3 linked regions of the Alligator mississippiensis genome follow. The protein of the gene in region 1 purifies or fractionates together with the protein of each later gene. This does not show direct contact. Links are inferred from orthologs where the notes say so. Each region holds a gene or a part of one and is shown in the gene's direction. Other genes may lie near its edges. The genes, in order: NEPRO, RPP25L and RPP30.

Region 1 (10,672 bases):
TTCAACAACTGGACTATTAAAAAACAAACAAACAAATAAACAAACCCAAAAAACCTTAATGACATCCTGAAGACCGATTGCTGGTGTTGTTGCTTCAACATCTAGTTTCAGCATGAGGGAAATCAGGTTTTCCAGGGGTTTGCTCAGCTCTCGCTCCATATGGCTGTCAATGCCCCAGTCCAGGGCATTATAGATCACCATTCCCAGACACTCCAGCAGCTATGAACAGAAGCCAAGGAAGCAAGCGACCTTTCAGATCAATGTAGTAGTAGTTCAGTATTGTAAAGACAGTTCCCAGATGATACCTTCAGATTTCTAACCCAAATAACAACTCTACCCACTTTGGAGGTCATGTGTCTTCTTCACAGAAGGATAAGGTGGTCACAAGGTAATCCTGTCATTGTTGCTCAAGCTGGGTGACAAGGTATAAGAGACTAGACCAGAATCACTTATGATTACAGCGTGCTGAAGTTGTGGAAGTGTGCTGTGGCAGCAGAAATGCACCCACTTTATAAACCCTATAGGTGGCAGTATTGCCAGCTGCACCTCACCCTTTTCCCTTGCAGCATGTACATCAGGACCACTCAAGTAGTTTCATTTCTGAACTTGGCCTTGGGCCTTTCCCTGGTCAAAGAATGGAGACGAAAGTCATCTTCCTTCAGGCCCCTGGCACTCTTCAAGCACCAAGAATATTAAATGACAATTGAATCTTTTGAACATGACCCATTGTTGTAGGACAAGGCAGCTTAGATTTTTGTACCTAGAACATCTACTCAGAAAGGATTATGACTGTGCCATTCCTAGGTTGAAGTCATAGGTCCTTGACACCATCTTGACTCCAAAGAGAGACTTACCTTGTCCTCTGATTGTTGTGTCTTTTGAACATCTGAAAGGGAAACAAGTGAAAGAACATAAGTCTGTAGGGATTGTGAACGGCTTGCTCTTTTTTGTTATAAGATAAAGCCTTCACTAACCCTACTTGGTGGAGTGGCAGAACCATTAACATGTCTTGCTATAGTGCTGGAGGTGAAAGTTCAAGCCCTGCTCTGGTCTTCTGCCACAGACTGCCCCAGTTGATTCAGCTGTAAATGGGCACCTGGTCATTCAGGCTGAGAAGCCAGAAGTGGCCAGATATCATGCTGGCCATTTCATGCCCTTATATGACACTGACTACAGTAACTGGTGTGCCTTAACCACAGCAGCCCAGTGGACTGTTAGGCTTGCATGGGCCCTTGACACTGACCCAAATTTCCCTTTCCAGTATATCATGCAAGTTTGGTTTCTTGCCATTGGGAGAAGTCCTCAGACAGTTTTAACCTCCATTTTCTTGGGGGGGGGGGGGGGGGGGGAAGGGCAGGGAAGGGAATTGGATGAGAATCCAGGATCATTAGAAAACAGTGCAAGGTATGGTTTCCCTTTGATGTTCTCTGCCTCTGGATGCTTCTCAAGTAGAAATAAGAGAAAGGAGCTTCCTTTCTTTCTCTCTCAACACCCACTGCTCCCATGCAGACTACAGATACAACAGGCCTAAGTATAGTTCAGTCAGACTATATCAATGTCACAACCCAAAGCTGTGATTTGTTGTTTGTGTGCGCTTCGGCAACGCTAAATTACATTCCCGCTAAAATTGCAGCTTCTTTGCGCGCTGGAGTTTTCTGCTGCAGAGGAGAACCCTGCCATTCGTATTATACTTTGAGCCCCATTATTGGCTAGTTCTAAATTATGTACACGTGGCAGCAAGTGATTGGCTTGCTAGCCATATAAAAAGCTTCAATGGTTTCCGCCCAAGTTGGAGGACTCTACGAACATCAGGAGGAGGAGACTTCACCCTGTGTGAAGATCTCTAAGCGCTGCGGATCCTTACGGACCCAATGCATTTCTTAAGAAGGCAACAGAGGTCTGATCAGCCTCTAGCCTCTCCCTGTCGCCGATAGATTCCTAGACGTATCCCTTCCTATATACCCAATTTTCGAACCCACTCTTAACAGCTCTGGGGGACCTGGGAACCGAACCGAACCCACGGAGCTTCAGCAACTTCGTGAGGAAAGAACTGCCGAACCCACGGAGCCTAAACCACTCCGGGGCCAAAGAACCGAGTTCGTCAGAGTCCTCCAACGAGGACTCAAGCGGAGCTGCACCTGGAAAGCTGTCCAGCCTACACTGCGACCATCTTGGGTGTAAGTAAATAATCTTTTAAATCAACCACTATGCGTTCGTGACTAATTCTAGCTCGCCACCGGTTTTCTCCGACCCCGCGTGCCCGGGCTGCTGGCCACAGCCCGCGTGCGCAAAGACGGGCCATGGATCGCCCCCCCCAACTCGCACTTGGCGGCGGGATCGGGGCCCGGCCCGCACAATCAAGACTTGCTCTTTGGAAAATGGACACTTGTCTTTTGGCCACCTTTCATCCTAGCGTGGGGGAGCCACAACCCATATAGAGATTTCACAGAAAAGGCATGAGGAAAATCAACTTGCTCCAAACATTGCAGAATAAACACATGCAGAAAGTGACTAGTTATTTTTGTCAAGCATTAGTCCCTTTCCCTTCAGTGGCAATGGCATCATCCATGCATCAGTGTGCACAGGAGGCTGGACTAAGTGACTTAAAAGACCCATTCTAATCCTATGCATATATTATTACTTCTGAAGTCTAGCATTAGAAAGTAAAGAGACTGCAAAACGCAGAACAATTATGCCATCCATGGTGTCCCCTCATCCCCCTGCATAGCTTCAGATTAGGACTCACAAGTGACAGAGTGGGAGGACAAGGAGGAAGGGAATGTTCATCTGAGGATGAAGTGAGACATTCTTCATAAACCCCTTATACAAGCCATTTGTTTAGGTAACACCCCTCTAACAAAGTGATTCAATGTGTTACTATTAGAAAAGTTGATTTCTTCTATGGTAGGGCCTGGTTTAAGTTGTGGGCCCAGCTCGCTAATATCATGGCCCAATCGTGACAGGGGCCACCATACTCATGCTCAGATTGAGCCACTTCTCCCCCACACCATGCCTCTTGATTGGCAGAGGGGGCAGGTTTAATTGCAGCAGGAGATGCCTAGTTCCAAAATCCTCTGATCACTGCTGAAAAGCCCACGCCCCTCTTCCCTCCTCCCCACCCCAACTTCCCTGGAAGAGGCAGTAATTAAGACAGCCCTGGCACCAGGTAAGGGAGTCTGTTTGTTCCTCCGGGCAGGAAAACTGGGGTGCAAGGGGTTGGGGGTGCCAAAGGGCTGCCTTAGTATATGGCCCTGGCACGGGACAAAAAAAAAAAAAAGCCACCTGGAAGAGCAAATGCCATCCCCAAGTTCTCTCCTTCCTGTCCCTTTTAGAGACAGAAGTTACACATAAACCAGCTTAAGCAACCAGAAACTGGTTTAAACCTGTAACAGTTGCCCTGCTGCTAAACTTACTAAAACCTACTGCTGGCTGTGACTGTGGACTACAAGTCCCAAAGGCACCTAGAAGCAAGAAGAAAAAGTAACAAGCAACCATGCAGAGTCCTGTTGCTGTGATTCTGGACTGCAAATCCCAGAGACCTCAAGAGCAGCAGGAAGAGGAAGCGAACACCCATCCCATGCTGGCTATGTGCCAGAGAGGCGTGCTCCAGTGTACTTAACCTGTTTTGTGACACCTTCCCTCCTCCCCTAGGCTGCTAAGCTTTTGCTGCTGGCTGGGGAATTCTTGCCATCATTGCAACAAAATGCCATAATATAGCTGCTTGTTGGGGAACTCCCCAGCAAACAGGCATATTGTGGCATTTTTATTGCAAGTCACATTTTTTCGTGAAAAAAAGAAATCACTTAATTTTGTGATTTTCACAAAAAAGTGTGAAATCACAATTTGAACTAGGCCCTATCCCACAGTATTTTTTTATCCAAAGACTTCAGAAATACTTTGCAGAGAGCAATAATATTATTATAATTCACCACCACACTAAAAAAAAAAAAATTCTCATTATTACAGACAAGGGAAAAACAGCAGATGCAGCAAAAGAACTGAGAAACTGACTCCAAAGCCAACGCTCTAACCTTTGAGAAACACTGCTGCCAAGATTCCCCCCAATTAATACCCCTTCTTTCCCATTTCCCTATGGGCACCCTAGTGGGTAGGGAAAATAGAGCCCTTCACATTAGTTGCAGATTCACTGGGTTTGGAGACAACCCAAGAAATTCCAAGAGTCAGCCTGCTATTTGCAGAGAAAAATCAAGGGTTTTACTATGGAAAACAGTTCAAAGACAAAACAAACAAACAAAAAAACCCCCAACCTCCCCCACCCCCCAAAAAACCCCAAACAAAAACCAAAACCAAGCAGCAACATATTTTTGGTTATGATGGATAAAATGTTACTAGCTGATTATTTTTTTTAAGTGCAGAATAGAAACAAGAGCCCCATCAATTATCATCCTTGCCCTTACCAGATTTAGAGCACAGCAAGAAGGAAACATTGCCATTGGAATGGATGAGGATGCTTCCAGGGCCTTTTATAACTACAGTAGGAGACCATGGATGAAGCCCTTGAGCCAACTGCTTCATTTTACAGCAGCACTGAAAGCAAATGGCCCAAGCTTGCTCCTCACTTATAGGCTGTTTATAACATCTCAGGAGCTCTTCCAGAGAGACCTTAGTAACACTCCAATCACATCTCCTGTCCTCCATTTCACATGTATCACTTATTTTCTATGCACTTGCTTGTTTGTTTACCACTTGAGATGTTTTTCACCAACTCTACAGGAAGCAGCATCTTCTCCCAACAACCTTTTATGCAGTCTCCCTTTTCTTTCCTTCAGCTGTGACCATTCAGGGCAAATACCTCCTTAAAGGGACACCCTCAATTTCACCATCTGATCTGTACTTATGAATAAAGGCAGAGGGGTGGGAAAAGGGTTCTAGGAAGATTAGAAGCCCAAGTTAAAACTCATGCCTGATATTAACATCACTGACTTCATCAAGTTTATACACAGAATGTGAGTCAGATTAAACTGGGAGCATACAAGCTACTACCAAAGTAGAAGAGGCAATGTAGGATATAATTCAATTTCTGATACAGGTACCCAGTGGGAGGAAGATACCAGGAAAAATGTTGCTGAAAGACTCTGAAAAGTGAGTGGAGTGCAAGTGTGATGTGCTTACAGCAGCCTGTGCTGCGAAGCAGACCTGTAGTGCTGTTGTAGGGTCCAGGGAACATAGAAGAAGCAAGATGTGTTTGGTAGTGCTCTTGTAGTGGACCAATTCTATAGCTGGGAGAAATCCTAGACAAGTTTTTGGGCACACAAGACCCCTCTTCAGGTGTGAGAAAAACATCTTGGGAGCAGATGCCTTCTGTACAATCGTTGGGGAGTTCTGAATACTCCTCACCACTTTTTGCTGTGTTGGGTCAGCCACTACCTGCCTCCTCACAGATACTCTGATCCCAGAAGCAGTTCAGTCTAAATCTGCAATGATATGCATGAGAGAAGCGGATTGTGAGGGACAGCTTCAAGGGGACTGAGGTGCACAGGCCAGTGATCACACCCAATGCTAATAAAGTGACCCTTGGAAAGAACAATGGTCACCAGTCATGGCTCAGTTTCCTTGCCGCCTACTCAACTGGCCAAGAGATTGATTTCTCAGAGACATGGGCACGAAAACAGAAATCCAAACCTAAACTGTATAAAACTCGTCCACACGCACAGGCACAGGGCTGGGAGTCAGTAAGTTGCATCAAGCGGATTGAGGGGCCTGTGTCCTCGCCATGCAGCAGTGAGTCGGCCTGCGTATTCTCTGCTGCACACGGCTGCTTTGGAAACGTTGCCTGATTGCTAATCACCTCAGAAACGGGGGTACCGTTCAGAGGAACTCGCTTTGGCTTTTCTTGTGTTTCTCCAGATGAAATAAAAGCCCCCAGTCACCCTGGCTGCAACATGAGCTGCCACCTCTTGGCCCCATCTACCTCCAGGTACAAAGAACTGTCAGGCCTCCCACTAGAGGTGGCCAGTACCTGCCCTGCTTTGGTGGCCAGGAGGGAGCCTGGTTCATTTGATGCCACCTGCAAGGCTGAGGCGGGTTCCCTGGCTGGCGGGGTGCGTGCTTGGGGCAGGGGGCACCCTGAACAGCAGAGCTCCTGGCGGCTGCCTTACAGCGAAGGCTGCAGGGCAGGTCAGCACAGCCTGGCGGACCTCATGCAATGCCACAGGATGTAGCAGCTGATCTACCCCAGGCTAGGGCTGCCTTGAAGTAGCTGCTCATGTGTCTGGGGCCCCTGCACCCTTCCTTGGTGGGGCCCAGGCCGAGGGGCAACCGCAGACCCTGCCCTTGCCCACACTGGGCTCGCGGGGGCTTCGCACCTCCCACTGCCCGGCTATAGCAAGCCCTGCACACGCACCCCGTTCCCGAGATTCTTGGTACAGCCCGCAGGGTTCCTCCCCCGCCCCCCCAGCTCTGTTTTGGTTCCGCCCACTCATGCTTCTGGCCTCGTCGCCCCGCCCCTTTCCCCGCCCTTAGCAAATATGGCGGGGCCGGAGCTGGGGGAGGCAGTGTGGAATCGGGTAAATGTGCCGTGGCCTGCCACTAGCGCTACGGTGGCTCTGCCGGAACAGCACCCCTCAGGTAGCGAAGGGGGCTGTGTGGGGTAGGCGCGGGCGAGAGGCGGGCGCTCGGGGCACGCGGTTTCAGCTGGCTTAGCCACCGGACTCGTGACGTCACAGGCGCGCCTCTGCGTCCTGGGGTCGTGACGTCGCGCGCGCCTCTGCGTCCTGGGACTGGAAAAGCGTGTGCTGGGGCTGTGGTGTCGCGTGTGTGCGTGCATGGTAGTCAGTAGGGGGTGTTGTAGGGTACACATAGGGTGGCTAACCGTCCAGGGGTGCCCCGGAGTCCAGGAATTCAATCTAAATCTGGAGGGGACTGCTTGGAGTCACCAGGGAGATAAAATATATCGCCTTCATCAAAATAAATATGAAACATTGAATCCAATTTAGACAGTAGGCCACTGGTTCCTATAATGTAGCAGTAATGTGCATTTGCCTTCCTAACATAAAGTCTGCACACCGTCAAATGTACCAGATACGTGAGCACGTGGGCACGTTCGTGCCGTGTGGCACGGGCATGTTGGCGGTCTGGAAACCTCCCAGGATAAATTGTTCGAACGTTGGTAACCCTACAGGCACATTAGGATGTGTATGATGTACATCTTTAATGTTTATTTCCTGCTAGTGGGGTGGGAGGAGTAAGTATGTAGATTTTCCCCCTCCCCCCCCCCAAAAAAAGACTGCAAATTTTTATTGAAAAGCCATAAGCGGTTGCCCCCTCTTTCCCCAAACCCACCCACCCCTTTGTGGTTATTGTTGTATTGCTGCTCCTTTGGAGCATCCAGAGCCCAGACCCGCTGCCCTTCCTCTCTTACTTCCTTGCTCTGTCCCGCTGCATCACGCTGGTTCCCGTCTCCCAGCTAAGGGGTGTGTAGGCAGCAAAAGGCAGGAAGCGGAAAATGGCTTTTAAAAATTCCTTCTGGATTTTAAGCTGTTTCATGTGAGGGGAGATGGCAGATTGGGGTTGCAGGCTTTACTTTAGGGGATGCGTTTCTTTGGTCATTTGATTTTGGGGTGTGGACTGTTACATGATTGTGCTGTCTTAAACCATTTATTTCATGTGGAACTGCAAAACAGTAATGTGTCTCCTCCCCCCCACTCCTCTTTTCTCTCCCTCTCACCCTTACTCCCTCCACCCCTGCAGTGAGATGCCTTCCAGCAGTTAGTAAAGAGTGCTCTGCCACTCTCACATGGCTGAACAACAAAGCTGTGGATGCTGAAGGAAGAGTCCTGCATGCGATCCTTTATGTCTGCCACAGCAAAATGTCTCACCATAAAACCTACCTGGCTCTGAAACAGGTCAGCAGGGAAAATCATACCGATTCATATTATTTTGCAGTAATAGTTGATGGAATGAGCTTTCTAATAATTTTTTCTTACAACCATGTTCTGAAGAAAAAAATTGAGATCTGGGTTTTGGTAAAGTTTCATAACATTGTTCACATCCATTTTATTCTAAATGAATCTCATTCAATTAGGTTTTATTGATCCTAGATAGAGAATTTGGCTGCTGGTGAGAGATTTTACCACTCCATTTCAATGGGAACAATACAAGACACTTTCTGCTTAAGTTAAAAACCTAAATAAATACAGTAAAAGTTCTGTTATCCAGCATCCCTTGGGAACGGAGGATGCTGGATAACAAAATATGCCGGTTAATTGAGCAGCCCCGGCCACCGCTTCTCGCGCCGTGTCTGGGGTGTCCCCTCCGCCCCTCCCATGGCGGGCCCCGCGGGACAGGGTGGCGAGTCCTGCACAGCCTGTTATGCCCACGGGCTGTGGGGGCTTGGCAGCACAGGCTGCTTTGCCCTGAGCAATGGGGGCTCAGAGAAACCAGAAGTGCCACGGTGAGCACTTCTGGTTTCACTTTATCTTACAAGCCGACATACCAGTTAGTGGAGCATGCCAGCTTGTAAGATGTCAGATAACATAACTTTTACTGTAGTTCATTTTATTCGCAACTTTCAAGAAGTTCAATATAAAACATTAGATAGGACAGAACTTGTATTTCTGTTGAGAGAAGGGGGAATAATTCAAAGGTTGCCTTAAACACTGTTTCTACTAACTTGAATGTTTTTCAAAGGTGGTCTCAAAGCAACTTTCAAATGTAACAGAACATGGAATGTTTAATAACATTTTGTGGTATGGGTATGAAATACGCTGCCTGTTGCACTAACAAAACAGAGGTTGGAATCTAGATTTTCTGTTCTGATTCTTATGATTGGTTTCTCCTGAAGCTTGTTTTGCAAACTTAATTTAAGTAGCCACAATTGCAAGATGCTGCCTGGAATGTGTAGGATCAGTTGATAGTCTTTGCCTGAGTCCTATAAAGTCCACGTTCACAATAATGTCATCTAGAGATCCTCCTTGCCCTTGTGTAGATATTTGTGTGCGCCAATGGGTTTGGCACCAGGTGTGGCAGGCCTACACATCAACAATGGACAATACTGACTAATAAAGACCTATTGATTGAGAAACAAAAAAGTATTGACCAAAAGACTTGTTGGTTTTTTAGGTAGAACAAAGCTTGAAGCGTTTGAATAGGATGAACTTAGTGGGATACGTTCAAGACCTGGCAGAACTGTGTTCCAAGTAAGTGTCATTACCTCCTGTTAGACTGAATGCTACTTTTAGCCATGAAGAACTTCATGCTAAGTGTAACCACCACCCCCTCACTACAGGAAAAATAAATCTGAAAATCCTGGAGAGCATCTAGTTCCCAGCCAGCCTGTGATGGAAGTAGTAGCAGTGAAGGTCTTGGGAGGCTGTAAGTTGTTGCTGCGTCTACTGGACTGTTGTTGCAAAGCATTCCTGTATCCTTCTTAACAAACCTGGGAGCCTGGAAGTGAAAATTCTTACCAGAAAGCCAAATATGATCTGCTGCAGGCTTCTCATTGCTGATAGCATTTGATAAACGGACAAATGTTGTTTAGTTAAAAAGCCTTTGGTTACAGGCAATTGTTTTCAGATCAGCAGGTACGGACTTTGGGCTGCTGGCGAACTGCTGTTATAGCTCTAAGTAACCCCGAGTTTGAACAGTCCTTTCCTGAGTAATTGCCAGGCATAGATGGGTTTCTGAACTGCCTTGTAGGAAAGTCTCTGCTCAGTGAATTACACTGCACACTGTTTTTATTGGTTTTTTTTCTCACCTTAACAAGCTTTATTTTCAGCTTGACCATTAAACACCTATGTTTGGAAGAATTCATACTCTTGAATACTGTGGTCTCAGGATTGTTGAGCAGATTATGGTTTGTATACATTTGAAAAGATATATATTTTTACTTTTTTTAATTTTTTTTTTTTTTGTTCATCATCTGCCTGCTTTGCCCTAGTTACTTTAATCAGTACATAGTATGACACAGGCCTCGGTGCCTGTTGTCACCAAGAAATGGCAGGTGTTGAGCTAATGAATCAAGGCTTCTTCCCTCCCCTGACTTGAATGGCTCACCCTACCTGAAATCGGACAGGCTTTTACGGGATTCTCAGGAATAGGTGCTAGTGTAGATGGGGGAAGGGTTCATACTTGATGATGAAAAGATTTCTATGGCACTTATAATACCACCATGATGTTCAACTGCTGGGTTTTTCCAGTAAGTGATTTTTAACTGTCTTGTGTGGAGAATATAGTTGGTAGAATGGAGCTGTTCCTTACTAGCCCTGATTCTTCCAGTGAATCATTTTACGAAGAAATGACAAAAAGATTCAAACATAGGCTGAAAATGCTAGCATTGTTAATTAAAATATAGAGTTACTCGTGTGATATGGCATCAATGTGTATGCTAACCACTCTGTTCAGAACAGGATAGCTTTTCTTCAGGTGGCATTGAACAGAAAAGTGTATATAATGTTAAAAAGGCAGATGAACAGGCCCACTTGTACTGAATTGGAGGAGAAATGGTTTGTGGGGAAGAATTTTAATTAAAGAGCCTTGGCTTGATGTCACCTGGGAGTTTGCTCATTCCTAAAGCTTGTGAAGATCCATGAGGTGCATTATATGGGGGAAGAAGTCTCTGTAATGCAGGCTGTGGATGGTGTGTTCACAGGGTTGAATCAGTCCCAGTCTATATCCTGCATCTTCTGAAGCTCTCAGACACCTCCATCAAGTG
Region 2 (10,361 bases), on another chromosome or scaffold:
CACGTGACAGAGTGGATCCCTGGGCCGGGAGGTCTAGGGAGATGGGTGCTTGCACTGTCACCTCGTTGTCTTGGCCTCCCTCAGAACAGGGACTTCCATGGGGTCTACTTAGTATAGGCACTAGGCTTCCCCTGGCTTGAGAGTTTGTCCCTTACTGCTGCTGCATGTCACCGTAGCCTTTCGCAGGCTGGACCCCAGCCTCCATTCCTGTCCTATGGGACCTTGTGGGAGAATTGCGCATATGGTTAAAGAGCAGTGGTGCTCAGACTGGCCCCTTGGCTCACTGGTCCGTTCTAAGATCATCCTAGCCCCTCAGGTCGGCCCCCCCCTGTGTTTTCCTTAAGAGCCACCATCAGACTGTGCTCCTGTCGAAGCAGTTTGTCCAGTGGGACGAAATACTGACCCAGTTGGAAATGGCCAAGCAGGTGAAGCCTGTGGCAGAGTGACAGCAGCAAGAAACACAGCCTGCGGCCATGGGCAACACCAGACACATGGGTCTCATGGGAGAGAAGGGCAGCGGGACCTGCCAGCCAGCATCCAGCACACAGGATTCCCGTCTTTGGATCAGAGCACTGCACAGCAGGGCCTGCACTTTCTTGTTCAGTAGGAACACGCTGCAGGTAGGCGCCCAGTGGCTGCGGCCAGCTCCGTCCTCCCCTGCTCCCTCCTGTGAAGCCAAGTGTCTGGTGCCTCTAAAAATCCAACCGTCTGCGCTTTTTATTTGCACTTCTCCAAGTGGTTTTGACTCTTGATTTGTAACTTATTTAAGCTCCTGCCCTGCTTGGCCCCATATTCGGGCTGGCGGACCTGACTATAACAACCTCTCAGCTATTGCTGATCCCTGGACCTTAATAAAACCCGAAGACACTAATGGCACTGGGTCTCGTTCAGTGTTTCCTGCCATCAGTTGCAGCTGGGGCTGTGCCTGTGGGCCAGCAGCATGCAAGTGCTTGGACTTGTATATACCTGTGGGTCCCCAAACTCTGAAAGCCACCTTCCTGGCACAGCCTGGAGGTCAGCAGAGCTAGGCTGGCTGTGAGCTTCCTCCCAACAGTGCTAAGAGGTGTGATTTGATGCTGGGAGCAAGAGTAGTTAGCAGTCAGCCTGCCCTAGCTAGCTCCCTGGCACAGTGAGGAGGAGGAGTGTTAGCTGAGCTGCTCTGATTGGCTGAAGTGTGTGCCTTTTTGGGACTGCAGCCAATTGCCGTGCTTTGTCAGTGGAGGGGCCTGTGCTCTGACACCCTGTAGCAGCAGGATTATGACCCGACCCCCCCAGCATATCTAATAAAGCGGGTACTTCTGACACTGCTTTACTGCTGTTTCACGCTGTGGGTTTCTAGCTCCTAGTCGAGGCAGTGCTGCTTCCCTTCCCTGCTTTGTGGTTTGAAGCAAGGAGGAAGGGGACTCTGCCAGCTGACTGGTGCTACCAGCTGTCCTTCAGACAAGAGGCTTTGAGAAGAGGAAAGGAGCACAGCCAGCTGGTGCGGGGCCTACCACAGGCTCACAGGCCTCGTACTCTTCAGGCCCTCGGAGCTTTTCCTTTGGGGGTAGGAGAGCTGGAGGCTTTCCAAGAAATGCACTGAGAAGATTGTCTGGCAGCCAAAACAAGGAGCAGAAAGGGGTCAGGAGTAGGGCTGTACGAAATTTCATCACCAGTTTTGTTTCGACCTGTTTCGAGGTCAAAACAGCAAAACTGAAACGAAACAGATATGGCCGAAACAAAACGAGATGCGTCAAAACGTTTCAACGCTGTTTCAACGTTTCGCCCGTGGGCTATAATGGGGAAGGTCAAAACAGCCTATAACTTTGTCATTTCTGGCCAGATTTGGATAAAACTTGCAGAAATGGTAGCCCCTTCTGAGGGCATAAAGCGTGGCAAGTTTCAGGAAGATAGGTGGAGGGGGTTTGGAGAAACTGCACCCCAAAATCCTGAAAGCGAAACTCATGTCGTGTATGTGTTGATCCGCAGTAGGGTCAAACCTGCAGGCATGCTAGCCCCTGCTGAGGCCACAAAGCCTGCTAAGTTTCAAGGAGATAAGTACAGGGGTTTGAGGGAAACTGCACCTCAAGCTGTGGACAAGCAGAACTCATGACATGGGTGACCCTGTGTGTGCTAAGGCACAGCAGGGTGGAAGCTGCAGGGACGGTAGCCCCTGCTGCGGCCATGATGCCTGCCAGCTGTCTAGATCGGTGCAGGGGTTCTGGGGCCCCTGCACCCCTAGCTGCTGACAGGCAAATCTCATGACATGGGTGCTTGTGCAACCGCTGCCTCTCATCAGGCAGGAGGACCAAAGATCCCCCATCACTTGCCACCACAGACCTGGGGTTAATAATTGACCACAGTATGAACATGAGCCAGCAGTGCGATGCTGTAGGCAGCAGGGCCAACAATACACTGGCATGCATCAATTGATGCATCTTCAGCAAAACCATTGCAAAGAAGTGATTCTCATGCTCTGCTCGGCTCTTCTCAGCACTGGTGAGACCTCAGCTGGAGTGCTGTGTCCAGTTCTGGGCTCTGCACCTTAGCAAGGACGTGGTAAAGCTTGAGAGAGTCCAGAGGAGGGCTACCCATATGATCAGAGACTTTCATGGTAAGCCATACAAGGAAAGGCTGAGGGACCTAGGACTCTTCAGCCTGAAGAAGAGAAGGCTGAGAGGGGACCTGGTAGCAGCTTACCACTACACTAGGGGAGTACATCTAGGGCTCAGTGAACAAGTGTTCACCAGGGCACGTACATCTAGGGCTCGGTGAACTGTTCACCAGGGCATCCTTGGTGAAAACCAGGAGTAACGGTTACAGTGTGGACACCCTAGTTGTGAAGTCGTTTTTCCTAACATTGAGCCTGAAACAATCTTCCAGGAGTTTGGGACCATTCCTATCCTACGGGTGAAACATTGAAACGGCAAAACGTTTTGACGGAACAAAATGGAACAGCTGTTTCGACTCGAAACACAAGTCGAAACAAAATGCTGTTCTGTCGAAACAACGCTTCTGTTTCGCACAGCCCTAGTCAGGAGCTCTGGCTTCTGATACCGGCCTCACCAAACCTCTTCCTGCCTCTGCACCTCTCAGGAGGCATGGAGGTATGTGTCCTCTTGTTGGAGCCATGGCTGCTGCAGTGCCCAGCAGCCCTCCCTGAAAGTTGCTGCTGGACAGTGCTAGCACCTGCGGCAGCTCTGCCTCCCATCTCTGAGAGAACTTGCAGCACGTCCTGCAGGCAGGCAGCCTGGACCCTTCACACCTGGCAGCAGAAGCAGGTTCTGCAGCCAGGGCCCAGCGTGGAGCTCCTGCTGTTTGGATGTGGTGAGTTCCCCCTGACAGGGACAGCAGCAGCTCGAGGGGCTCTGAGCCGCATAGGGCCCTGCAGGTCAGACTAACAGCTTAGGATCCACCTGGAAATTGGGTGGCATCCAGTGCAGCTCATGGAGTGGGAGCATCACGTGCCACTTGCAGAGCTACAGCCCACCTACCTGCCCTCAGGTCCACGGGCTGACCCTGGGTGGGGGTCAGAACTCTCCATCCTGCTGATGTGCTGAAGGGAAGGAAATGGGCTTCGCGCAGCTTTCCCGCTGCTCCTGCCAGCATCGCCATGCCCTCGTGTGCCCCCAGCTCCAGCCAGCTTGCTCCCTAGGCACCGAGCCAGGCATCCCACAGCAATGGTCGGATCCGAGGAGGCAGCAGCAGCTGCAAACCTCCCCCACCAGTAGTACTGGCCTCGAGTCCTCCGCTGGGCGTGTGGGATGTTTGTTTCTGGCTTTTCAGCTATTCAAGAAAAGAACCATGGCTGCCTGTCTCCCCAGAGTTACAGCACAAACACACGCTTTTCCTTCTTTGTTCGTTACTTTTGTAACTTTCTCATCCCAAATTGTCCAATCCTTGGGTCCCATACCGTATCTTTTTAAATAAGGTACTCCAATCCTACTCGGTTTTTGGTTTCGTTTTCTTTTAGGGAAACTTGTACCTGGTTTCGCTGACTGTACCAATCGCAGCACTCACTGTTTCCAGTGCCTTATATAAGGCACTTTGTACAATTGCATTGCTTAGTTCTGGGAGGGCCTCGACCGTGGCTAATAGCCATAGCATAACTCAGTTTGCCTGCTACGCTGCTGTGCTGCCGTCTGAGCCTGGTGTGATGACCAAAGCAGGTGCTCTGCAGCTTTAGCTTTAGCTACAAGTTCTGCTCTAGGCTCTAGTGGAAGGCTGCCCCAGCTGCCCTGGTTTGGTATGTGGGCATCTGGGTTGAGGACCAGCAGCAACAGTCCTACTGGCTAGGACCAGTTGGCCTTAGGCTGGCCTCATGGGCTACCAAGGCCTGGTCAACATGTGACTCAGCCCAGCTTTAGGGAATCCACTTGTCCCTGCAGACTGGAATATGCTGGTCCCAACAGAGTTAAATGTGTCAGGACTTAACGAGTGGCAGCAGAGAGACCGGATCTTTGTGCGGTCAGGGGGCCTGCCCGTAGCTGTCTCTGCTTCTAGCATGCCGACGGGCTGGAGGGGGCTGGTGTGGGGTTGTGTCATGTCTGGTGAGATCCCCCTCCTTGGTGCGTGCAGGGAGCGTGTTTTCCCTGGCGTGTGCAGCACCCTGCTCGGGGGCTGGGAGGCATGTCGGGGGGGGCCCAGGCTGCTGTTACCCCACAGCCATGCAGAGCTGCCTGCAGCTGGAGCGATTCCAGGGGGCTGGGCCGTGGGCACACACGAGCTCCTCTGCAAGGGCAGCATCAAACCGCTGCACAGTCAGCCCCAGGAGCCGGCTCTACACTGATCCTCCCAGCTCAGATCTGGTGCCTGTCACCTGGACGCCTCTTCCTATTGGACTGGCTCCTCTGTGGGCTTGAAGTCTCTTCTCCCTGGTAGCCAGGCCCTGGGTGGGGCACAGACCCCAGGGCCTGGCCCTTTTCCCCTCCAGCCTGCACTTGCAGAGCCTGTGAACTGAGCGGCAGCACTTCCAACGCACGGTGCCTCCAGCCGGCCCCACGACCACCCACGAGAGGGAGCTGCAGGCCTGGCAGAGAACAGACGTCCCCTCGTGCACCCGTGCGAGGCAGTCCCCAGCTGATGGTGCTGCTGCAGCGGGGCTCTGGAAGAGCCTGTGCCCGGCTGTAAGGGCCCTGCTTGGCCTCGAAGAGCCCTCGCATTTCTGTCGCTGCAGGAAAGCTACCGCTGGAATCTGTTTCTGCGGTGCCAGCGCTGCGGAAATGCCCGAGACACGGCCCCGGGGGAGCAGAGCGGAGATGGGAACGGCTTATTCCAGCATTGGCAGCGCAGGTCAGGCTAACAGCCTGGGACCCAGCTGGAAACCAGGTGGCATCCAGCGCAGCTCACGGAAGAGGAGCATCCCCTGCCACTTGCAGAGACACCTGCCGCAGCCGCCGGCCCTCGGCGGGAGCTGTGGGGCAAAGAGGAGGGAGAGCCGGGCACCCGCGTGGGGGCATCCTCCTTGCAGGTAAAGCCTTTGCTGCCCCTGCGCCCGGAGTCGCCCATGGTTCGTCAGGATGAAGGCCGGGGGCTGTTGCTGAGTTGGTTGAGTGCTAGAGCCGCGGGGCTGCAGGAGGCCTGCAGAGCAGGGGTCACGTCCAGCCCAGCCCGGGCCACCCCCCTGGCTGACTAGTCACCCTGACAGCCCCGGGCGTCGCACCCGAGCCCACCACGGGCAGCAGGGGCCGCGGCAGCCAACGTCCCGCTGCAAAGGGGGCCAGAGGTGCTCAGTGGACCCAGGCAGGACTGTGCCCCTGCTGCAGAGGGAGGCAAAAGCCCCCCATTTCGGACCAGTGTGAGCAGAGGGAAATCCCTGCCTGCCCCAGTGCAGCAGCAGAGGGCCTGGTGGGGGCACGGGACCGCCTGGCCCCTTCCCCGCGCCGGGCGGCCCATGGCAGGCGCACGACCTGCGCCATCCTCAGCCCCCGCTGTGCGCGCGGGGGACGCCCGCTAGGGGGAGCCGCTGCTCCGCGCCGGAGGCGCCGCTTGCGTCACAGGAGTAGGGGCGGGGGCGGGTCGCTCTTCGCGCATGCGCCCTCGCGGCCCGCCTTCGCGCACGCGCATGCTGTTCGGCGGGCTCGCCACGGGCCGAGTGCGCATGCGTGTTCGCCCCTCACCGGAAGTGGTCGCCGTGTTGCGGCGGGGAGGCCTGGCGGCGGCAGTGGTGAGAGCGGGCTCTGAGCACGCTTCCCGGGGCCCCGCGGCTGTCTCCGCGGCTGTCACCCGGGGGGGGGGCGGGTACGGGCGGCGCCATTGCCCCGCCGGGGGGTGGTGGCGGGAGGTTCCATTCATGCCCCGGGCCCCGCGGATGTCCTGCGGGGGTCCGGGAGGTTCCACTCATTCCCGGGGCGGTTCCATTGATCCGGGGGGGGGGGGGGGGTCGAGCGGTTCCACTGTTCGTTGGGGGGGGTCCCTCGGACGGTTCCATTAATCCGGGAGGGGGGTGGGGCTCGAGCGGTTCCATTGATTCATGGGGGCTCTTCAGGCGGTCCCATGGATCCGTGGGGGGGGGGGGATCTTGGGCGGTTCCATTGTTCAGGGGGTCCCTCCGGCCGTTCCATTGATGGGGGGGTCCTCGGGCGGTTCCATCGGTCGGGGCCCCTGGCGCTGGTGACTCCCGCCCCAGGCGCCTGCTCCCTGGCCAGTGCATGGCCGTGCTCTGCTGTGGGGGTTGCCCCCTCCCCCCTTCCTGCTACGTGGGAGGGGGTTAAGCCCCTGTGGGAGGCTTGCTGGCTGCAGTCGGGGCCGGGCTGTGCCCATGCTCCTGCGGGGCCCTGGCTGGAGGGTCTCGCCCCACGCTGCGCTGGGCTCGGGATCAATCCCCCCGTGCTCCGACTGCGTGTGATAGCGGCGGGACGCGCGGTGCCGGGTCCCCTGCTTTACGCGTGGCGGGTTCGGCCGTCCGGTTTAGCTGGCGGGTTTGCGCGGGGCCGAGCCTGCCTCGGGCGGGGGTTGGACTGGACCTGACATCTGCTCCCTTCCCCCCCCCCCCCCCCCCCCCCCCCCCCGCTGCTTTAGGATTTCTATAAATTGCGATAATATTTTTCCATAATGGGGGGAAAAAGTGAATGGGAGCGGAGATCTGGCATCTTCCAGGGGGGCCTTGAGTCTCTCTCGAGTCTGCGGAGGCTGAGAACCGCTGATCTGTAATTGGCAGGGTCCTAGGGAAGCTGAGCTGAGAGGCACCTCATGGGGTCCCATCAAGTCCGGCCCCTGCTAACCCCCCCCGGCACAGGTCTGTGCACCCTGCTCTTGAACACGTCGGAGGATGGGGAGCTCACAGCATCTGTTAGTCTGTCCCAGGGCCTGACCCCCCCGAGTCTGCAAGTTCCTCCTCGTCTCCAGCCTCAGTTTCCCCAGCAGCCGCTTGAGCCCGTTGCTCCTAGCCCTGCCCCCACGGAGAAGAGCCCACCTCCATCCTCCCTGTCATCGCCTTTCAGGGATTTGCAAACTGATCAAACCCCCCTCCAGCCTTCTCTTCTCCAGGCTAAATGCCCCCAGCTCTTTCAGCCTGTCCTCGCCAGCCTCGCCGCCCAGGCCCCGTCGTTTCTGTCACTCTCCCTGGACTCCGTCCAAACTGTCCCCGTCCTCCTCCAAGTGCGGAGCCCTAGGCTGGACACGGGGCCCCAAGGGAGGCCTCCCCGGTGCTGAACGGAGCAGAAGAATCGCCGGCCTTGATTTGCATGTTTGTACAGCTCAGGAGACAGCTTATTTTGCAGCGAGAGCGCACTGTTGGCTCCTATTCAGCTTATGGCCCACTCATTCCCAGGTCCCTCTCTGCAGCGCTGCAGCCCGGCCCCTCGCTCCCCCGTCTGTATTTGTGCGCGCCGGTTTTCCATCCCAAGTGCAGGACTTGGCACTTGTCCTTGCTGAATCTCGTCCGTTTGATTTCAGACCATTTCTCCAGCTGTTGGACGTATGCGTAAGGCTCGGGAGGTTTACAGTCCAAACAAAATAGGCTACAATGGGCAAATAAACCTAGCAGCGCTGGTTCTCTTCAGCTTCTGGCTCTCCTGTTGCATCTCCCACGGGCGACTGCTTGGGCTAAATGCAGGAGAATGATTGGCTCCAAATGTATCTGCAGCGCGTTATCTAATACCTCAGCATGTTTTAATTAAAGCATGTCTATTACTGCTTTGCATGACCATCTTCTCTCAGAATCCCTGGCCCTGAGCTTTGACAGCATCCAATTAAGTTATGACTGTAATTAAATTCTCCAGTCTGATTAGTTAAACACCTGTACAGCAGATTTTAAAAAGGGAGTTATGTGAAGCGGAGGCATTTGGGATGTCTGGGATTACTCTTCGCTTGCATGCCATATGGTTGTAAGTGCTGGAAACTGTCTGATGGCTCTCGGGCGAATGGCTGAAAGGCAGGGACTGTTTTCCTTCGTTTGTAGAGCATGTGGTAGCACTTTAGGCAACACAATATAAATACCTGATTTATGGATTAAAGCACCGTTGCCATTCCTGACTTCGGGTAGGTATTTCAACCATGTCCAGAGTCGGAGCATGTTGTGCTAAGCAGTGATTCCCCGCAGGCTGCTTGGCACGAGGCTAGGAACGAACAGACGAATCCCTCTAAGACAGCCTCATGAATCATGATTAAGAGATAATCACCAATTTGTGCTTTCCTTTGCAGTGTTGGAAGCAATGGAGAACTATAAAAAGAGCAAGATTGTGGAGAAGCCCTGTCCTCTGCCTTTCTCCAACCTGCCCTCAGACATTATCGAGATGAAGGTGAAGGACGGCAGCAAGATCAGAAACCTGATGGGCTATGCCATCGGCAAGATGGAGGCGGACGCTGTCAGGCAGATCCTTTTCACTGGCTCGGGCAAAGCTGTCGGCAAGACCATCACCTGCGTGGAAATCATGAAGCGGAGGCTCAAGGAACTCCACCAGGTCACCAAAGTGCTCTTCAGACAGATTGAAGAGATTTGGGAGCCCATCGTGCCCGAGGCGGGCCTCGACACCTTGACAGTGAAGAGGAACATCCCTGCCATATGCATCTTGCTGAGCAAAGATGCGCTCGATCCCCAAGAGCCTGGTTATCAGGCTCCAGGCTCTTTCGAGGCCTTCTGGATTGAGACGCTCGCGGCAGAATCCCAGGGCCAAATGAAGAGGAAGCAGGGGGCGGGCAGGGGGACCGGCAGCACAGGAAAGCACCCCAGATCTGTTGGCGAGCGTGGGGAGTCCTGCAAAAAGCCCTGAAGCAAAGACGTTCACAGAAGCAACCGACGGGATGAGAAAACACACTGGCTCCTCGAACACTAACACTCAGCACGTGATGCCAAGGTCATTGATGCAACAGGGCTGGAACGTAGGTCAGCTGAGGGAGGGAAGGAAATGGGGTGTGAAAAGCAATCCGGTCAAGCTGTTGTGAATACAGACTCCTCTCAAAGCTAGTCTGACATTCGCTTGGAAGATTTAGGATGCAGTGCCCAGTACTAGTGCACCCTCCGTCCTTGCTGGAGGTGGATGGTGGCAGGTGCTGTGTGTTTGCACTCCGAGCTGTGATTTAGGTGGTATTTTCAGCTGCCCCCAGTCAGCGATTGCAGTGCAGTTTTATCGGGTGGGACCAACCAGCAGCCTTTGCAGCTGTGAGGTCCCTCTTCAGGGTGTGTTGTGTTCATCCTTTGGAGACAGGCAAGTGCTCTGAACGGAGGACTGGGGTCTCTCTCGGTTCTGCCAGCGATGCCCTGTGACCTTGGACTGCTCCCCTCTCCTCCGTGACTCGGTTTCCTCATCTGTGCAATGGGGATGTTTACGTGCGTTTCGCGGGGAGTCGAGGGCTGGTTCGTGCAGAGGTTATCTCAGTATTACACTGCTTTTTGTAACTGCTAATGGCAAACTCCAAAGCCAAAAGCTGGTTTCCTTTACTGCTGTTTTACCTTCACTATTGAACAAAAAGTTGCCTCTTTATTTAACATTAAAAAAATCTTTAGTTGGTTTTTCTTTCCACTGGAGACTTAATAACGTTTGGAGGTTGGGACTAGGGACACTGGACTGAAGCCTAAGCACTGAGCTGTTCCTGAGATGAATGTGAGAGTTTTTCTTTTCGTCAAGAAACTTCTCAGTGGGGCCCAGAGCACGCGCGTTTCAGTCTCCTTCCCCAGCATTTCACCTCAAACACCGAAAGGTTTTCTGACCTGTTTTGTCCGGAGTGAGGACAGCCCAGCTTTGTGTGCAGCGAAGCGGGGGTTTTTTGTTCATTTAGATTTATTTAAGGTGTTCTTGCAGCAGTTCTGAAGGCAGGCAGGACTGTTTCGGGACCCGCCAAAAGCACCTTCTTCCCAGGAAAACTGCCAGGGCAACTGGACAAACACATAAATCAGTACTGGGAAGACGTGAACTGCATGAGATCCCTTTGTGAGGACGTGA
Region 3 (10,161 bases), on another chromosome or scaffold:
AACATACTGGGAATAATAAATAAGATGTAGGTAAATGTCTCTCCTGCCTGTGAAGAACATATTGTCAAAATATTTAACATATTTTATCACATCCCAAGTAAGTTTCTGAGGCTAAATATTATTCAAACCTTGATTTCTATTCCCAGTGTGTAATGTTTAGTAAATAACACTCTTGTTTGACTTGCAGCATAGATGTTGCAGCTGCAATTTTCTTTACTGTCTTTTCTTGGCTTTGTGAAAATAAATCATCACCACTTTATGGCAGTAAACAGAACAGTAAACATTCATTTCTTTAGCATTTTGTTTCATTGTCAGAATAATTGCCAGTATCTATGCAACTTAAATAAATGTGAAATTACGTTTTCCCTTTTTCTATGCCAACAAATACTGACAAAAGCAGGTAACCTACAACTCTCATCTGAAAGTAAGACAAACAGTGAAGGTGGTAAACCTGCTGTCACTCAAACTGATTTTGCCACCACTCAAAATTCATCCTGCAGCATAAAAAGAAAAAAAGAACAATGTTGGTGAAAGTAATTAGGAAATTTCTGTTATAGAATTACTAAGATAGTAGTGCCTGATCAGATATGTTCCATGAAAGGGATAAATGTGGCGCTGTGATAGACAAATCTCTCAGTAGCTTCCAAGAGCTGGCCTTTGAAAGTAGAGTTGTTGGCAGACAGTGGTTGGATGTGAGCACCCAATGGCTCTTCATGGAGAAAACGGAGCCTGGGACCTAACTGTTCAGTATTCGGGACCAGAAGAGTAACTAGCTGAGGGGATATGTGGGTTCCACAGGAGGGGCTTAGGGACTGCAAGGGTAGAAGCAAGACACGTTAGAGGTCTGTGTCTAACAGTACTGAAACACACACACACAGGTTTCAAGTAGGTCACTGGGCTCTCCCCAGTCAAAAGTGAATGTTGAGGGGAGGGGGAGTAAATAAATAGCCCAGGAAATGAGGCTCCATGAAAGGCCATGGTTCTCCCATCATAGTCTACATCTCTAATTATGCAAGCTGTTCCATTTTTGTGGACAAGTATACCAGTGCAGGATCCCATTAACACCAATGGGGATTCTATTTTGGTCTGGGTTGTACTCATGAGCACCAGTTTAGCTGATCAAGGCTTTGCAGTATAAGTGGCTCAAGTCAAATACTGTCCCTTATTCTGCATTGTACAGTATCTAGTTCATTAGAGGCCTGTTCCTGACTGCAGTCTCTGAGCATTACTGCATTACACTGTGCAAACATAATGAATAAATATTTTTAAGTTCTTAATAAATTCATGAAGAGAAACTGAACCAAATTCAGCTGTAAATCTTGACCCAAGAAAACCTGAAATAGCCTACAGCTCTTCTGTGTTCAACTATACCAAGGGAAATTCCTGAAAAGCTCAAGATCTGAACGAGTGGCTGAACTGATGGGCAGGCATCTTATGGCAATACATTGAAGTTAAATTCCTCTGTTGATACTTCCTGATCTGTCAGTAGTTTTGATACAATTGTGGACAAACCACTGTTGATTCAGCACATGTTATAGCCATAAGCTGGCTATTCGTTGTGCTCTGAGACAAGTGTATTGAGCAGGTTCTTCCCCTCCCGAAGACCTGTCATTGTTGCTCTCATCTAATATGCAGAATGCTGTAAACTGACACACTCTGCAAAACCCAGAAATGTTTCAGCAGTTCACAATTGTTTATTTTTCATCCAGTGTAAACAGATTTTTATTTTAGTAAAAAGGAGATTGGAGTCTGAAAGAAGGACAGCTGGCTTAACCTGAACCAAGGAAAAACTTAAAACCATTTCCCAGTCTAGGAATAATGACCCTAAGTGGAGTTACAATCTGCACAGGGCTCCTAGTTCCCCACAAACCCACAACTACCCTATGTGACCACAATTAAGAGAAGGCAGGAATTAACAGGAGATGGAAATACCGCAATTGTTCAGGAAAGCTATTTGTATGTCCACTCCTCTCACAGTAAATGAGAGAGAAGCTGAGTCAATGTATTTCCATTTCATTCAGGAGTAACCTGTCTGACTTAGCTGTCATGGTAATATAATAGTGGGCACAAGGGATAGTTATCATGGACCAGCTGAAGAGGGGTCCACTAACAGTGGTAATTGTGTTGAATGAAATTATCTGAATGTATGTGGAGTCATGAAGGGGAAAAGTTTGGAAAATACTCAATTAAGAGGCCTTATTGGAAGAAGGCATTCTTCAAAGAGCTGGTGAGCACCTCAAGAAACCTGTCTACATTAGGTTAAGAAACTGTTCAGCCTTTGACTCCTGCTGAACTCATTACTGAACTTTGCACCTAGATACCACAAGGGCTTCCTTCTATCTTAAACCTGGCTATAAACTTGAGGTAGCAGGGAAGAAAGATCTCTCTATCCCCTAGCCCTAGGTCTTGGCATGCTCTCCTAAAGGAAGACAAAGGGAATCCTTGCCATTTTCCACTTCTTCTGTAAGTCATTGTCATCATAGCAGACCCTGAGAAAAAGAAAAGTTGAGTGGAATAATTGTCTCCTGTGTCTTATGTACAACTCTCTTGTCTCTACATCCCAGAATGAGATTTGTAGTTTTTGCAACAGCATCATATTGTTGACTCATAGTCGGTCTGGGTTTCACTATAACCCCCAGATGTGTTGGGGGAAAAAATCCCTTTCAGTTTTAAAAAATATCCTTTTTGCCTTGACTGAGTATGGAAAAACTATGAGATGTTATTTTGGCTAAAACATGTCAGCAAATGAGCCTTAAATCTAATATCCTCTCTCTTCTTGTCACTGTCGATGCTGAGTTGCTGTCTCAAACAATCTAGTAATATTTCAATGGAGTAATATAAGATAATAATATGATATTGCTACTCCATCTAGTGGATATAATGTTGTTCTCTCCAGCAACCAAATACCTCAGCCACTGATTCTATATCAGTTTTGCCTGTGAAAGAATTCCACCCTCCTATTAGCACCTAAGGCATTTATGTACAAATTTAAGAGAGCTAAGAATCATCTCATCATAAAGGGGATTCCAGAAAGTCTTGGGATTCACCTCTCAGATTGCCCTTGAAATTTTCTTCTCTCTTTGTATCATTTAGAAGGCAGAATCTCAAACTCACAAATATAGAGAAAGGAATCCTCATCTCCATATGTGGCTCCTTTGCATTACTGCACTTGCCTCCTACGTACAGAGTATGATTTAATACAGTACAAAGTAATCATAACTTCAATGTAGTTGGCTTCAAGACACATGGAGCCTGATTCCTACAGGGCAGCTCCTAGGTGCTGTGTTGCTAGGGTGATCATCCATCCATCCTTAATTGGGTGGACAGTCCCACAATGGGAACCTCAAGTCTGGGTCCCAGGCTGCATGACTCCAGGACATCATTTTTCCTGGTTGTTAAGTCTCATGCAGGGATCCACAGGAAATGGCAGGTTTCCCCTTGCAGGCTGGCAGCATTCCACCTGTAAGAGGCTGCCAGGAGTGGGATGCAGGGGTGCCATGTCATGTGCATGTGCACACCTGCATGTGGCCAGGAACACAGCCAGGCAGCCTGGAGAGCAGCTCCCAGCAGGTAAGTTTATGTGTGGGAAGGGATGCGGGGGGGGGGGTAGGCAGACTGAGGTCCCCATGGTGAGGGAGGGAGTGGGGCAGGGGCTCGGGGCACTGCCCAGTCATGGCAATGCATAGTGCCAGGGTGGGGAACAGGATGGAGCTGTGGGCAGCTCTTCCAGGGGCAAGGTGGTAGGGCATGTGCTCCCCAGATTTGTGCGTGGGGCAAGGATGAATGTGGACTGCCTGCTATGTGCTTGTGGCTCCCTGCCCTGCTGTCCTGCCTCTGGGGGCTCCCGCTGGCTGCACCACCATGACAAGTGCCTTCTGTCTGCCTGGCAGCAGCAGGGATGGCGGCAGTGTGGAGTTGTGCCCCTTGCTGTTGCCAGGCAGGCAATGGGCATGTGGCTGGCACGGGGCTCCCGAGGGAAAGGCAGCAGGGTGGGGAGTCCCGAGCCCACAGTGGGCAGCCCACATCCACCCCCCACTCTGTTCTGCTCTGCTTGGCTCTGGTCCTGCAGCAGTGGGGGGCAGAGGAGGAGGAAGGTAGGCATGTGTCCTGCCTTCTCCTTTTGAAAAGGTGGTCTCCCTACGTGTTACCTTCATGAGACGTTTTACAGCCATTCCCTGCCATTGCCAACACAGTTCTGATCCAATGATGTCAATGTCTAGCGGAGAGCAATGCAAATAGTTTGGGGACGGGGGCACGTGGCTTCTGAGGACAGGCTGAGGGAACTGGGGTTATTTAGTCTACAAAAGAGGAGACTGAGAGGGGATTTAATAGCAGCCTTCAACTACCTGAAGTGTGGTTATAGAGAACGGAGCTGGACTGTTCTCAGTGGTGACAGACGACATAACAAGGAACAACAGTCTCAAGCTTCAGCAAGGGAAGTTTCAGTGAGATATAGGGAAAAGCTCTCACAAGGAGGGTGATGAAGCACTGGAATGAGTTACTAGAGAGGTTGTGGACTCTCCATCCTTGGAGGTTTGTAAGACCCGGCTAGACAAAGCCCTGGCTGGGATGATCTAGCTGTGGATGGTGCTGCTTTGGGGTTGGACTAGAAGTGACCTCCTGAGGTCCCTTCCGACCCACATTTTATTTTCTATGATGCGCTGGGAGCACTACTGCAGCTACACCACATCGCCCCTGTGCAGGCAGCCCTGTTCTGATTAGAAGCGCTCTCGGCCAAGCTCATGGCACGGCCTTGCAGACAGACCGTGGTCGCTGCACCGGCCCCGAGCACGAAGCTCCGCCCAGGACCCCGGCCCCAGCACGGAACAGGGGTGGGCCCCGACTCGTGACGTCAGCACGTCCAGCGGCCGCCCCAGGCCCCCGGGGCGAAGGGCGAGTCCAGGCAGCGCGCAAGTCCCCGCCCCCCTCCCCAGAGACCAGAAACTACAAATCCCAGCATGCCTCGGGGCTCCAGGGCGCATGCGCGGTGTGGCCGGCCTCGCGGCATGGCGGGGTTCGCGGAGCTCAACTTGCTGGCGCTGGCGGACAGGAAGGCGCTGCGGGCCGTGCTGGAGGCGGCGGCGCGGCGTGAGTAGCGGCCCGGCCCTGGGGGCTCCGCCTCCTGCTCGCCCGGGGCAGACCCCTCCCCCCCGCCCGTAAGAGCGCGGCCGTGGTGTAGACAGGGCGTCCGCGGCCACCAGGGCTCCAGGCGGCGCCTTTCAGTGTCCCCGCTCGGATCGGGCTGTGCCGCGCGGGGCGGGGCCCTGCTGCTGCCCCCAGAAGGGCTGAGCCAGGCCAGTCCCGGGGGGGGGGATGATCTAGTTGGGGATGGGCCTGTTTTGAGCAGGGAGTTGGACTAGATGGGACCTCTGAGGTCCCCGCCAGCCTCATTTTCTATGATTTTATGAATTTGCTAGGATGGGCCTGGAGCACTGAGGTCCTTTCTGGCTGAGCATTGGGCTTTGCAGTGCTGGCAGGTAGCGTGGCAGATACATACGTGGCTGTTGTATTCAGAAGGGCCAGGCAATTGCAGGCGAGGCAGGAAACGGAGCAGGACCGAGGCTTGTGCAGGGTGTCCAATATGTGTCCTTAAAAGCAGTAGCAGGGGGACAGCAAAAGCCACTCCACGTTTCTGCTGGAAGCAGATGGGAGGTGAGACCTGCTCTGAAGCCCTCTGCTTGCCCCAGAGCAGTCCTCAGTCTTGACTAGGGTTTACTTTTATTTTAATTTTTAAATGAACTTCTGCATTTGGGAGAAGCCAGTACACGGAAATGGAAGTTATGGGAAGCAAGGAGGATTCTGTCTAAGTGCAGGGCCACCCAGGTCATTATAGGCACAGTTGGGTGGTTTGAGTGGCATCGTGTCCCCAGCTACATCACTTGTATTCATGGGGGGAGAAAGTCTCAAAAGTTGTTTTGTTTGAGTCCCATATATGAGAATCTCACAGGCGTTTGTTCTTATGCAAGGATTCCAGAAAGTTTGAGTGATCTGACTTATATGGGACTATGCGTTTTCCAGGTTTGGTTTCTGAATGAGTCTTAGAGGCCTGAGCTTAAGCTTTAGTTCTACTTGTATTTGGCAGCAAGTAGAATGTTTCATTTTGAGGCATCGTGGACATGTTAGCGCTGCATTGGACGTAGTAGAGTGCTGCCATGAGACTACGCCTCTCCCACTCCATATGTACTACAGGCTGAAAAAGCATCATGTAGTTGCCACTAACGTGGTACTCTATGATGTGCCCAAAACAGCTAGGTCAGCATTTCTCAGCCCGTGAGTTGTGACCCAAAAGTGGGTCACAAGAAGAGATGAAAAGGTCGCCATCAAACTTGAAAAATGGATTCTTCTTTAAAGGAGAAAAATGTGGGAAAACTATGACAATTTTCCCTTGCAGGCTGGCAGAGTTCCAGCCTGTGAGGTCCCCCCTATGCCCCTCACACCCACCCCCCTGCCCCACACACTGGGAGGGCTGGGTCCTGGGGGCAGCAGGTTGGGAGCGAGGGACACTGGGTCGGGACTGGCCATTGATGTTTACAAATGTGTCCTGGTATCGAAAAGGTTGAGAACCACTAAGCTAGGTAACGAGAAAATGGGGTAGGTCATGTTATTGCAGTAGCACTTGCCTCACTGGCTGACATGGGGTGTTCATGCCCTGTAATTTTTTTTTTTTTTTAATTTTTGTTTCCAGAAATGAGAATATGTCCCAATCATCCTTGTACAATCAAAATGCTAAATGTATGTGAATCTTAAAATGTTTCTACTTTGATTTCTTTCTATTAAATTGTTAATATTTTGCAATTTGATTCAGATTTTATAATGTGTTTATATTTTCTAGTGGGATACTCAACTGTTGCAATTAACCATGTCATTGATTTTAAAGAAAAGAAACAGGTAAAAGTTTGTTTTGGTATTTATTCTTTTTTTATTTTTCCACTTAACATACTTCATAATTACTTGTCCTCAAATTGTCTCCTCTTTTAGAGTACTCATCTACATGTATATACAAAACTTTTTATTCATTACAAAGGTCCAGTTTAGAACTCCATCTTTCTACTAGTCCTTTTGCTTGGACTTAAATTTTACTTCCCATAAATTCAGTACACTGCATGAGCTGTCCATAAAGTTCTAGTTTCATTTGTTTGAAGGGCAGGTTCCTGTTTAGAAAAATGTATGCAGCTTTTATTTATATTGAGAAGTTGGCCCATTAAGTTTTTAAACACTTACTTTTGTTTTGCTTTTCATTTTCAGGAAATTCCTAAACCAATCTCTCCTTCAGAACTGCTTCCGTCTTTGCCTATAATACCGGTATGTCAGTTTAAATGCCATCTGCGTATAATGGTCTATGGAATATATTTGTATTCTAGTGTGTTTGTGTATACAGTTCTCATATCAGGCCTGAGTTGGAGAGATTGATTGTCTGATTTACTAAAATAACTCTGCAGCAACAGAAAACCAATACAGTCTAACGTACAGTACATTCTAATATGTTCTTCATCATACAGTTTATATGATATGGGAACAAACATTGTGCTCAGGCTGAACTTGGAAGCTACTTCTAGTTAAACGTTTCTATAGTTGACATTTTAAGAGCTTGAGTTTTAGGGATGATTTCCCAAGTTAAATTATCAAACATTCTTTTAAATCCATAGAGTACTTTAATTAAAAAAACAAAAACAACTCTTATCTGTAGTACAGTGATCATTCTGACCTGTGGCAACAGGATATAGGGCTGTACAAAATGGCTGCATTTTGATACCATTTCGGAGGACAGTGATTCGTTTCAGTGTTTCGGCTCACAGTCCTGTTTTGTTTCAGCTGAATCTGTGCAAGGGAAGCTTCGCACAGCCCTACCCAGCCGGGCAGGGCTTGGGGCCCCAGTGGAGAGCAGGACAGGACCATGGGCGGCTCATACAGGGGAGGGCCACTACCCTCTGAGCAGATGAGGAGACCCCTGCACGGATCTGATACCTCTCACGCCAGGTCACGGGGCAGGGAAGCAGCGCAGAGCGGCGAGCAAGCCTGCTGGTCCCTGCTGCGCGACTCAGCTCCACAGGGAACAGAGATCCGCTCTGGGGGTCTCCTTGCTGCTGCTGCTCAATCTGCGCTGCCCCGGCAACATGGGGCTGTGCGGGGTGGGTAGCGGTGGCAAGGAGACCCCAGTGTGGATCTCTGCTCCCTGCAGAGTCAGGTCATGGGGCAGCGATTCCCCAGCCCCCGGTTTGATTCCCAGCTCTCTGATCATTCCCCCAGCTCTTCCCGGGGGTCGTGGGCCCCCAGATCCGCACGCTGGGTTTCAGCAGGCTGCCTCTGAAGGCTGGGGCCAATGGCAACACCACAGTTTTCCTGACGCTTGGCGCAGAGTGTGCCAAGTGGCTGCCGCTTGCCCCAGCCTTCAGTGGCAGTCTGCTGAAACCTCACGCACAGATCGAGAGCCCGTGCCTGCTGAGAATAGCTAGGGAAACGATCGGAGAGCTGGGGAATTGAATTGGGAGCTAGATATCAATATCAGAGCAGTCATTTCCCCACCTCTTTCCCCTCCCTCTTCTTAGTTTTTGTTTCCCTGCAAGCCCGACTCCGAAACGTTCCAAAAGGAATTGGAGCCATCCGGTTCATTTTGGAGCCTTCCGTTTCGATTCAGATTTGGTGTTTTGGGCACTGAAATGGCCCAAAACACCTCCGAAACGAAACGGCTGCCGAAATTTTGCACAGTCCTACCTGGGTACCAGAATATGCTCAGTTATTCTGCTGTGTGATGTTTAAAACAGAAATAAAGTTCAAAGGAATGTAAGAAGTCATCAATTTCTAAGAGCACCACAGAGTATGGAAACAAAATATTAAAATTAGAAAGGTAAAAATATGTTGGTTTAGTTACAAATGAGAAATAAATGAGTATAGGCAAGAAATGAACAAAGTACCATTCTGTTTACAGTAATGGGAATGAAAAATCAATCGGCTACATCTTTGTTGTGTCCCTTTTCAATAGTCACTTAGACATATTTTGCTTACAGGGAAAATTGAAACCAATTAAAATTGTAACCCGACTAACGCTTGTAGTTTCTGATCCTTCTCACTGCAATGTGTTGGTAAGTATTAAAAACTCTCTATATAATTTTATAGTTTGCAACCTATTTATTTATTTTCACAATGAAATAATGTAACTTTTGATATTTTACAGAAACTTTATGTTTTTCATGGAAAACATTGCACTAAATTTTTCTGAGATTGACATCTTATGATTACATTGCTCTCTAACGATACCACTTTAGTAAACCAGAATATGCTGTGCACTGGCGATTTTTTACTAAGGGCATAGGCTGCTGCCAAGATGATTTGATTCTATTCCCAGGCTCTTACTTTTGAGTTCTCAGCCTGTAGCAGATGCTAGAATGCTGTTGCAAATCCTTCTGGTAGAGTGGGTGAAGAAGTGTTTAAACATGAAATAATCACTCCTGCTCTTTAGTTCAGTTTTGGCATAATACCAGTAAGACTGATTTTGCTTAACTTTGTTCAGCTTAAATTTCAAAGCCTCTCCTTTTGCTGTTGAAAAATGCCATGTTGAATTGGGGGAGGTTTGCTAGGTGTTCTTATCTTGGGTGGGAAGAAGACTTACAAAGTATAGTAACAGTAATATAAGGAGATACCGATGACTTGCGAGGCAAACCTGCCCTACCACTGTACTTGTGAATGGGATGACATCCAGAATAACGGCAGTAAAATGCTTGGAAGGCAGGATAGAGACCCACCTTTACAGAATAGCTAAATAAGATGTATATGAAAGCAAGCTTTCATGAATCTAAGTTTACTTTGTTAACAGCAGCAGTTAAAACAAGTTATTCCTATTAATACTTTATCTCATAGTTGGGGATTTTTTTTCTTTTATTACCTATTTGTTATTTTTGAAGTTATGCCAGTGCATGTCTCCACTACCTGTCATAATTTAAGCCATTATTTCTTCCTTTTTTTGTTAGAGAGCAACATCTTCAAATATAAGGTTATATGACATCATAGCAGTGTTTCCAAAGACAGAGAAACTATTTCATGTAAGTAGATAAGTTTTCTCTAAATTGCGATTACAACTGTAAATGTTGAAATAATGTTTGATGGTTTTGAGTGGATGAATGTGTTGCTTGGATTTCATCTCAAAATTTCCCATATGCTTTTTGG

What was found.
Region 2: the proteins of NEPRO (region 1) and RPP25L purify together in Homo sapiens (affinity purification with mass spectrometry; 3 studies listed by BioGRID and IntAct, with this or other methods). This does not show direct contact. The link is inferred for Alligator mississippiensis from reciprocal best matches to the Homo sapiens genes RMP64 and RPP25L.
Region 3: the proteins of NEPRO (region 1) and RPP30 purify together in Homo sapiens (affinity purification with mass spectrometry; 3 studies listed by BioGRID and IntAct, counting the BioPlex papers as one, with this or other methods). This does not show direct contact. The link is inferred for Alligator mississippiensis from reciprocal best matches to the Homo sapiens genes RMP64 and RPP30.

The regions. Positions count from the first base shown.
Region 1 is NC_081824.1:247,526,427-247,537,098, reverse strand, and holds the start of NEPRO (nucleolus and neural progenitor protein), read left to right. Parts: upstream 1-6,469; 5' UTR 6,470-6,488; coding exon 6,489-6,588; intron 6,589-7,710; coding exon 7,711-7,865; intron 7,866-9,081; coding exon 9,082-9,158; intron 9,159-9,247; coding exon 9,248-9,379; intron 9,380-9,736; coding exon 9,737-9,814; intron 9,815-10,672. Other genes in the region: protein spire homolog 1, read right to left, coding at 55-219, 855-886, 4,419-4,659. UniProt on the Homo sapiens protein: May play a role in cortex development as part of the Notch signaling pathway. Downstream of Notch may repress the expression of proneural genes and inhibit neuronal differentiation thereby maintaining neural progenitors.
Region 2 is NC_081826.1:299,906,926-299,917,286, reverse strand, and holds the start of RPP25L (ribonuclease P protein subunit p25-like protein), read left to right. Parts: upstream 1-6,055; 5' UTR 6,056-6,145; intron 6,146-8,622; 5' UTR 8,623-8,633; coding exon 8,634-9,191; 3' UTR 9,192-10,361. Other genes in the region: DCTN3 (dynactin subunit 3), read left to right, coding at 357-446. UniProt on the Homo sapiens protein: May be a component of ribonuclease P or MRP.
Region 3 is NC_081829.1:68,290,052-68,300,212, forward strand, and holds the start of RPP30 (ribonuclease P protein subunit p30), read left to right. Parts: upstream 1-4,972; 5' UTR 4,973-5,006; coding exon 5,007-5,088; intron 5,089-6,832; coding exon 6,833-6,888; intron 6,889-7,245; coding exon 7,246-7,302; intron 7,303-9,005; coding exon 9,006-9,080; intron 9,081-9,965; coding exon 9,966-10,037; intron 10,038-10,161. UniProt on the Homo sapiens protein: Component of ribonuclease P, a ribonucleoprotein complex that generates mature tRNA molecules by cleaving their 5'-ends. Also a component of the MRP ribonuclease complex, which cleaves pre-rRNA sequences.